Linked DNA regions of Coturnix japonica. The protein of the gene in region 2 purifies or fractionates together with the protein of the main gene of each other region. This does not show direct contact. Links are inferred from orthologs where the notes say so. Each region holds a gene or a part of one and is shown on either strand. Other genes may lie near its edges. The genes, in order: STAT3 and RET.

The links.
Region 1: the proteins of RET (region 2) and STAT3 purify together in Homo sapiens (affinity purification with western blotting; 3 studies listed by BioGRID and IntAct, with this or other methods). This does not show direct contact. The link is inferred for Coturnix japonica from reciprocal best matches to the Homo sapiens genes RET and STAT3.

Annotation. Positions count from the first base shown.
Region 1 is NC_029542.1:4,508,265-4,512,713, forward strand, and holds the end of STAT3 (signal transducer and activator of transcription 3), read right to left. Parts: coding exon 4,422-4,449; intron 4,335-4,421; coding exon 4,240-4,334; intron 3,941-4,239; coding exon 3,801-3,940; intron 3,441-3,800; coding exon 3,225-3,440; intron 3,002-3,224; coding exon 2,959-3,001; coding exon of another isoform or gene 2,955-2,958; intron 2,680-2,954; coding exon 2,567-2,679; intron 2,469-2,566; coding exon 2,413-2,468; 3' UTR 657-2,412; downstream 1-656. UniProt on the Homo sapiens protein: Signal transducer and transcription activator that mediates cellular responses to interleukins, KITLG/SCF, LEP and other growth factors. Once activated, recruits coactivators, such as NCOA1 or MED1, to the promoter region of the target gene.
Region 2 is NC_029521.1:3,897,068-3,900,875, forward strand, and holds part of RET (proto-oncogene tyrosine-protein kinase receptor Ret), read right to left. Parts: intron 3,773-3,808; coding exon 3,516-3,772; intron 2,372-3,515; coding exon 2,224-2,371; intron 1-2,223. UniProt on the Homo sapiens protein: Receptor tyrosine-protein kinase involved in numerous cellular mechanisms including cell proliferation, neuronal navigation, cell migration, and cell differentiation in response to glia cell line-derived growth family factors (GDNF, NRTN, ARTN, PSPN and GDF15).

The DNA.
Region 1 (4,449 bases), on a different chromosome or scaffold from region 2:
ATAATCCTTCCCTCTGGGCCGCACCTGAGACCAAACTCTGCATTCATTCTGCTGCTGCATCCACCTCTGCTCCACTGAGGGCCACAGGTGGTGGGAATACAAGTGCCGGTGTATCTGCCATCTCCTGCCTGCACCTTCCCATCCTGCTCCTGCATTGCACAGCGCTGCACAGCCCGGGGAGCCGCAATGCTGCTGTGCTGGGGCTCAGCTCGGGCTGCAGCCCGCGCAGCGTTTGATGCAGCAGCGCTCGCTGCCCACTCCAGCGCATCCCCACGAGGGGGCAGGGCAGCCCCACGCTGCAGCCGTAGCCCCGGCCGTCCCCAAAGCAGCCGCCCCTGCAGCCAACGCTGCGGACACAAAGAGGGGGACGCCCCCTCTGCCCGACCCCCATCCTGGGGAGCAGCCCATGCGCTCCGCCGTATCCCCAGGCCGGCTGCCACCCCCCCCCCCAGCACAAGGCCCCAAAGGGTCCCGGCCCCGTCCCGGCCTCCCACGCTGGCACCGAGGTTTCCTTGACGCAAGCAGAGCGCAGCCACGCGCCGCTTGTGCCCCACGTTGGCGCAGCCGGGACCCCGCGCTCACAGCTGCCCACGCAAACCACGGCGCTCACGGAGGGGTCGGTTCCCGGAGCTGAGGGAGACGAATGGGAGACGGGGCCGCTTTAGAGCCTTTATTTTGGAGTCAAAGCCTGTAGATACAGCAATAAAATATACAAAAACATAAAAATTTGTACGGTTTTGAATGTGGCCCAGGGGCGCCATTGACGGCAGCCAGAGGCAGCGACACATCAGCACAGGGACGAGCAACAGACCTTGTGCCCTCTGAGCGCCCACTGACTGCAGGGGGCCACCGTTCTGCATCTATGGGCAGCCCCGAGACCCCTGCCCTGCCCTCACACCGTGTCCGGTGCTGCCCAGGGGCTGCCCCCAGCCCACAGCGAGGGGGCACAGGGGAATGATGCTGCCTTTGGCACTGCCTTGACTCTCTGCACAGCTGATGGACAGGGACCCCCTGCACCACAGCATTGCTATGGGTACAAACAGAGCATCTCTAGCCAGAGCACCAGAACCATTACAGCCCTGTGCCGGAGCCCAGAAGTTTCTCTGCTGGTGTTACCCACAGCTGCTGGGCCCTGCCCCATGCTCCCACCTCACTGCATGGAGATTCCTGCTGCTCTGGGGAAGCACACGACCCTCACGCTGCCGCTCCCTCCCATTTTTGCTCAGGGATGGAACAGAAACCCACGCCTGGAAAGGGCAGGAGGGCTCCCTACACTTGGGTAAATACCGAACAACCATTAGTCAGCACAGCTCCCAACCTTCCCTGACCTCCAGCGTAAGGAGTCTTACTGCCTGCAGCATCAGTGCACCTATACCTGCTGCTGCCCCTCAGGCAGATTCCTCTCCCTTCATCCACCTTCCTTCCTTCAACCCTTATCACCTCCTAACTTAACACTGACAGCCAACCTCCAACAAAGTGCCACACAAAGCGCCTGAGAAGCTGCAAACCCACTGCCTGGAACATCGCACACTGTACTACAGAGCCTGGACACCCACTGCAGGGCAGACTGGACAGCAGCAGCCCCTGCTCCCCTGCTCTGAAAGGTCTCACTTTGCTCCTGTCACAAGTCTGGCCAAGGGGCCACCGAGGGTCAGGAGCAGCCTCCTGGTCCTAGGAAGGACCCAAGATGTAGATGTGTGCTCACAAGCACACACTGCTGCCAGGATGCCTCCCTGCCCTTCCCCACTACAGCACAGGGAAAGACGTGGAGCTCAGGGCTGCTGGAACCGTGGTCTCTGCCCACAGCAGGAAGGCAGCACTAAGCACTGACACTCCCTGCTCCTGGCAGAGCACAGCAAAGCCCTCCACATCACCCTTGTGTTCCTCCACCCTGCAGCACAGAGCCACTCACACCCTCTGGGCCACAAGTGGGACAAAGGGAAAACAGAGATGAGATTCCTCTGTAGGTTCTAATGGCTGCTGGGCAGCTGCTGCACAGCACAGATCACCCGCAGGGAGACTGGGTCTGGCCGATACCCTCTCAGATCCAGACTCACTGGACTGTGGATTTCCAGACACTGGCAGTCAAGAAAGCAGCTTTCAACAGCAGGCAGCACGGCAGGGGCTGCAGAAGCATTGGTAAAAACTGAGGCTGCAATCGGAGGCTAATAGGCACTTGAATGAGCAAAACAATAATAAAAAACTGTTATGGAAGGAAATAGAAAAAGGTTCAACCCCTTCCCCCCAAAGAGGCGAACAGCACCACAGCACAGAGTGTCTGTTCGTCTGGGTAAAACAAGGAGTCGGTGGCAAGGATCACAGCCCCCAGCTCCTCTCAAGAAAAGGCCCAGAGCAAATGTGACCAAGAAGGATTTGGAGCCACGTGGGTCCTGCAGGTGCCAGCACAGCGTGTCACATTGGTGAAGAAGCACACTCCTGGGTCAGCTCCATGTCGAAGGTCAGCGACTCTGTGCAAAACGCAGGCAGGAGTTACAGGGGCTGCGCCCTGACCCGGGGTCCTGCTATCACCAGGACACCTTTGGGCGCTGGGTCCCACCAGACTCACCAAACTGGCCTCCTGCGTTGGCCTCCGCTCCCTCGCTACCATTGCCAAACTGCATGAGGGAGTCAAGGGTGCGTGGAGACATGGGCAGGTCAATGGTATTGCTGAAAGAGGTGCTGTCAGAAAGAGGAAAAAGCATCAGAGCCCGGCCAGAGCAGACACCTCCGGCCCCTCCAGCGGGCCCCAGGGCACAGTGCAGGCAGCTGGGAGCCCTCTGGAAGGCAAAGGGGCCCTCGAAGGGAGAGCGGCCCAGCAGTAGTGTGGGCAGCACACTGCCACCTGGCTCAGCTCCACTGCAGTCCCCGTCCCCTCCCCCGATACAGACAAAGCGTTTGTGGCAAGGCTGAGCTTGTGAATGTTCCCCCGAGCTTACAGATACCTCCAGGAACACTTACGGGGTGACACAGATGAACTTTGTCTTCAGGTATGGAGCAGCACCTGAATGAGAGCACAGCCTGGTCACCATCTGCAGGTGGAGGAACCCCACTCCCCTCCTCACAGCCCTGCAGACAGCCTTTGTGCACTGCCCACACCCACAGGGTCCCTAGGCCATCCTATGACCAACACGGGATCCCCTAATGGATGCAGTTTTCCATCAGAGTGCTGTCCCTGCAGCCATTCCACAGGCAGGAGCTGTGCTGGGACGCAGAAAATCAACGACTACCTGAGTCAGTGGCTTCTGAGTGTTCCTGGCTCTCAGAGCGGCAGTACTTCCCAAATGCCTCCTCTTTTGGGATGTCGGGGTACAGATACACCAGGGGAGACACCAGAATGTTGGTGGCATCCATGATTTTGTAGCCCATGATGATTTCCGCAAATGACATGCTGTTCAGCTGTTGTTTGGTGTAAGGTTCCACAGACTGGATCTGAGTCTTTCCTGTATGAGAAGACTTTAGACACAGGGCAAGACACCTGCAGTCCTAGGGCAAAGGCAGGGACATTTCTCAAGCTCCCCAGATGGGACAAAGTCACCTGGGGTTGTGCTTAACCTCACGAGGCGCCTAGCAGAGCACATGGCAGGACAGACCTGCTTCAGTGCATGTGGGTGGGGGCAGTCAGGATGCAGGGACCAGAAAAAGATGCCCAGGCTCAAAGACTTAACCAGGGACAAGAGCCATGACGACAAGCACAAATGCCTCATTAGGGGAATGAAGCCATGGTCCAAATCCCACTTTGGAGCCAGGAAGGCTGGCTGAGAAAAACAGCACACCCAGGGCAGAGGTGGAGAGCAACGTACCACTGATGTCCTTCTCCACCCATGTGAAGGTGATGCCGCCCTCCTTGCTGCTCTCACTGAAGCGCAGGAGGAAGGTTCCTGGAGGTTTGGTGCTCAGGATGGCTCGCTCCCGCTCCTTGCTGATGAACCCCATGATGTACCTGGGTGCAGGGAACAAGGCTTGGTCAGGACATGGGGGCAGGTATTCCAGAGCATGAATCCTGGCAGTTCTCTGTACACTGACAGGCAGCAGCAGGGCCTTGGCTGGCCACCGCAGAGCCAGAGTTTTGGGGATTGTCTGGGGAGTCCCAAGTGTTTTCATTCTGAACCATCAGGGCCTGGACAGAAGAAGCATTCCAGGAGAGCTCAGCTGCACCTGGAACAAGGTACTGCCTCCACAAGGACAGGACTCCTGGGTCCACAACCAAGGGTCATCAGACTGACAACAGCTGAGACTCACCCTTCATTCCACAGTGCCAGGATGTATTTTTTCACCAAGTCAATGATGTTGTCCAGCCAGACCCAGAAAGAGAAGCCTTTGCCTGCCATGTTCTCCTGAGAAAGAAAGCAGAGGGGTTGTGAATATAGCTAGAGTGGAGAACAACCAAGGGGAGGCACTTGGGGGAAGAGAGGGAATTATACCTTGCAGAACTTGGCCCAGGTGATCTGA
Region 2 (3,808 bases):
CCTGTATTTTACAGGCAGTCATATACACAGACTTTGCTGATGTTAGTGGCAGTAGTGCGACAACATGCACGTCTTCCTAGCCTTTAAAGCATTTTATTTTTGCAGAATTCTTCATACAGTCCTTCTCTTTGAACACTCTGAGTTTTGAAGGAAATATCATTCATAAAGACACCACAGGTCAGTGATTTCCTTTTGTCTAGCTCCTCTTCAATGTCACTGTAACACTGAATCTCTATCTCTACTCTTCAGAGTATTATTATTGGGCAGCTTACAGTTGTGAACTCCCTAAAGGGAAAAGCAGGAGGTCTTCTCTACTAACTTACTGGTTAAAGATCAGACAACACAGAGTCCCTAATGCTAGGATGAATAACCCTTTGCAAATGGGCATAAAGCTAGTTCTGTTGTATATAACAGGGAAGGAATGGACGATGTTGGTCTGATCCAAATTAAGGGTCCTGTATTCCTGGCAGCACTTTATAGAGTGATTGGAGCTAATGCAATTTTTCTTATACTTGAGGAAAGCTAAAACATCAAAAGATAAATATTTCCAGTAATGACAAATGTTCTCCACAATAAGGCAGGAAAACGAAATTTCAAGTGACTATGTGCAAAGTACTTTACATTACAAAGGGATTCATTAGAGCCTGAAGCATTACTGTAAATGTCAGATCAGTTTATTTAAATAAGGTGCTTAAAATAAAGGGCTACTCCATCCTACTGTCAGTTCTGCACTTAATAGCTAGGGAAAACTGAATGTTAAATCATCTGCAAGTAAAAGCAACGTTTCTACCACTATGTCTTGAAATCTTAACTCAGTCACATGTCGCTGATGACAAGGCGCTAGAAAATCAGTGACAGTGCACAAATGAGTATGAAAAGAAATAATGACTAAGAAAAACCCACTTATAGCAATACACAGGTTGTTACCTGAATGCTGCAAGAACTGCTTGACTGGTCTTCAATTCTGAACAGACTTACTTATTTTATACACATGATTAATCTCCTCTAAACCTCTTGCAGGAATGCAGGGAAGTGCTGCATAATGCATTTACTCCTTTGGTAAAATGATGGAATATGCAGCATCTTTGCTCTCCAGAAGCAGAAGATGGACTTGTATGTATATTCAGCTAAAACTATCTGTCCTGCTAAAGGAAGTGTCTTCTATCCGTAAGCCTTTCCGAAGGTTCTTGTTTTCCGTCTTTGTCCCATGTGTTCCTAGGTGCCTGTTGTGTAGGGGCTACGTGCATTTATATGTTTCAGTACACCAAACTACAGAAAAGGACTACAAACTACAGCTTTATTATCTGCTTCAGCCCTCGGTCTCTGGTGAATAAACGACTAAGAAACATGTTTAAGCATTTCCAATGACCTCTTTCCCCATCATTTTATATTTAGCAATGCTGTTATTTAGCATTAGAAATCAGGTCCAGAAGTGGTAAAAGCTGTGGTTTACAAGCCATGGATTCAGCTTCTAGCTGCAAAATACAATAATATCGAAGACTTCCTACTTCATAGACCAAACAAGCAAAATACATTCTTCATGTTTTTCTTTCAGTGTAATTTCTTTTCTTTTTTTTTTTTTTTTTACATGGGAAAGAAATAGGTATATGTGGGGCTGAAGACTGCTACAAAGAGATGGAGTCAAGAGCTCAGTGTCTCACGTTACTATCTCAGCCAAACCTAGGCATACAATTTTCCCGAGCTTTAATGTTTTATGAAGACACCAGAAGAAAGCACTAGGCTATTATATCCGGGTAGGGAGATTCACTTTGTAATTGAAAAGCAGATCAGAAAGTAGACAGAATTCTTAATTTGGAAAGTAAATAACTTAACAGGCCTATTTTCTCTTGCCATGATTATAATGTGATTTATTTTAAAACCTCTGCTAAAGAGAACCACATAAAGGTAAAAAGAAAATCAGGAAGCATTAGCAAAGCCTTGCAATATTTCCAGTAATGCCAAACAAACGCATTCACTCTGCTAAGACAGAGCCCCTGAAAATCATGAATTAAAACTGACTGTGGATGCCACTTATTTGTATCAGTGTGGTGCCAGCTGCCCTGCAGTCAGAAATCTGTCAGAATAAAGAGTCTTCTGGAAGAAATTGAGGCTACGGCACTGGCTGTTGGTAGCTGACCTTTTAGTTTCATATTAGCCCATTTTAAAATCAGTGCAGAGGCTGCAACAGTCTTCCAATAATTTCAAAATCAGAGGGGAAGGTACCTTTTAGCATTTTCACTGCCACAGTAGTATAGCCAGCTCTTCCCTTGAGTCTGAAAGCTGTTGCCTTGACAACCTTTCCAAATTCTCCTTCTCCAAGAGTCTTGCCTAGAACCAGGTTCTTCCGAGGGAATTCCCACTTTGGATCTTCCTGCAGGAAAGAAAAGGAACCCTATAAGAATGATCAAAACAGGAGTGTCTAGGTGCATCAGAATGGTCAACAGGAAAGGATTCTTCAGGAGTGGGTGCACTTTGGTGTACAGCTTTGGTTGGTCTTTGTTATTAATGAGTGCGTTGCTCCGAAAACTTCTGAACCTGTAAGTGTTTTGCAAATCTTTTATCACTGCCTCTAAATTACATCCTTCAAAAAGCCAGTGGATGATAGATCATATTTAAAAGACTTGGAAAACAGTCACACATGAAACAAAGTGATGAAAAATAAATGCTTGCTTTCAGAATAACTATGAATAAGTGATCATAGACTGCAGAGAGAAGTTCATCAATTTCACTTGCAGAATAAGAGTTCGTCAGACGCAATAGTCCTCCTCTTAGGAAACGAGTATTACTGAGCTTTACATTTGTAAGGTGGTGACAGATGTACACAACAGACTAGACAGTAAGCAGAGTGAACACCTCAGCATCGACCTTCAAACGGATCTGGTACTGCCACATATCATATAATATGGCAGTGTTTCTCTACTGCATCTTGAAAGTGATTTACCAACACAGAAGAAACCAGAGTAAAGACATGACAATCTGACTGGACAAACATTCTTAAAGTGTAGGTAAGTCTCCCATGCCAACTGATACCTATGGAATATAGGTTCATGTGGGTGTAAGAGAATCAAAACCACACCTCAACCTTTTTGCTTTTTTCTCCCTAATCTTACCCCTGCTGTGATAGTGGGGCTCATCACAGAGATTACAAAGGTGCTGATTACTAACTTACATTTAGACTATTATTTTAACAATGTTATGTTAGATGTAACAATTTAAACAATTATGTTATTTTAATAACATCAAATTACATTTATTTTAAAAATTGTAACTAATGATATGTTATATTAAAACATAACAAATCCAGAAGCCTATACTTTCCTTGTGGAGCAAATCAAATGTTTTATTCAGTTACTATCTTGAGTTCCATCCACATACTCATCACTTCTGTGTTAGTTATCTGAGTTTGATGCTTCTCTTAACGGACTGCGTTTCCAAACTGTTCTCTGCACATGTAAGCAACATTCTTTATGGACAAGGCAGATATGAGAAAGTGAGTAAAATTAAATCTGGCTTACTGGTATCTTAAAGGTGTCTACAGACACCTGGTTCTCCATGGAGTCTAAAGAAGGGCGACGGACATTAGTAGAAGAATAGCTGATGGGATATGACTGGGCTGGGCGCCGGAATGTCATTTCTGCAGAGGCAATAGGTGGTTTTGGAGAGTTCTTGTGGTAGCGATGGATGAAATATGAAGAAAGCAGCACAGAGATGATGAAGGACAACAGCACTGCCCCTGCTATCACAGTCTTGCACACTTCATCACAAAATTGCTCTGTGGACCAAGAACAATTTATTAGAACTTTGTTTG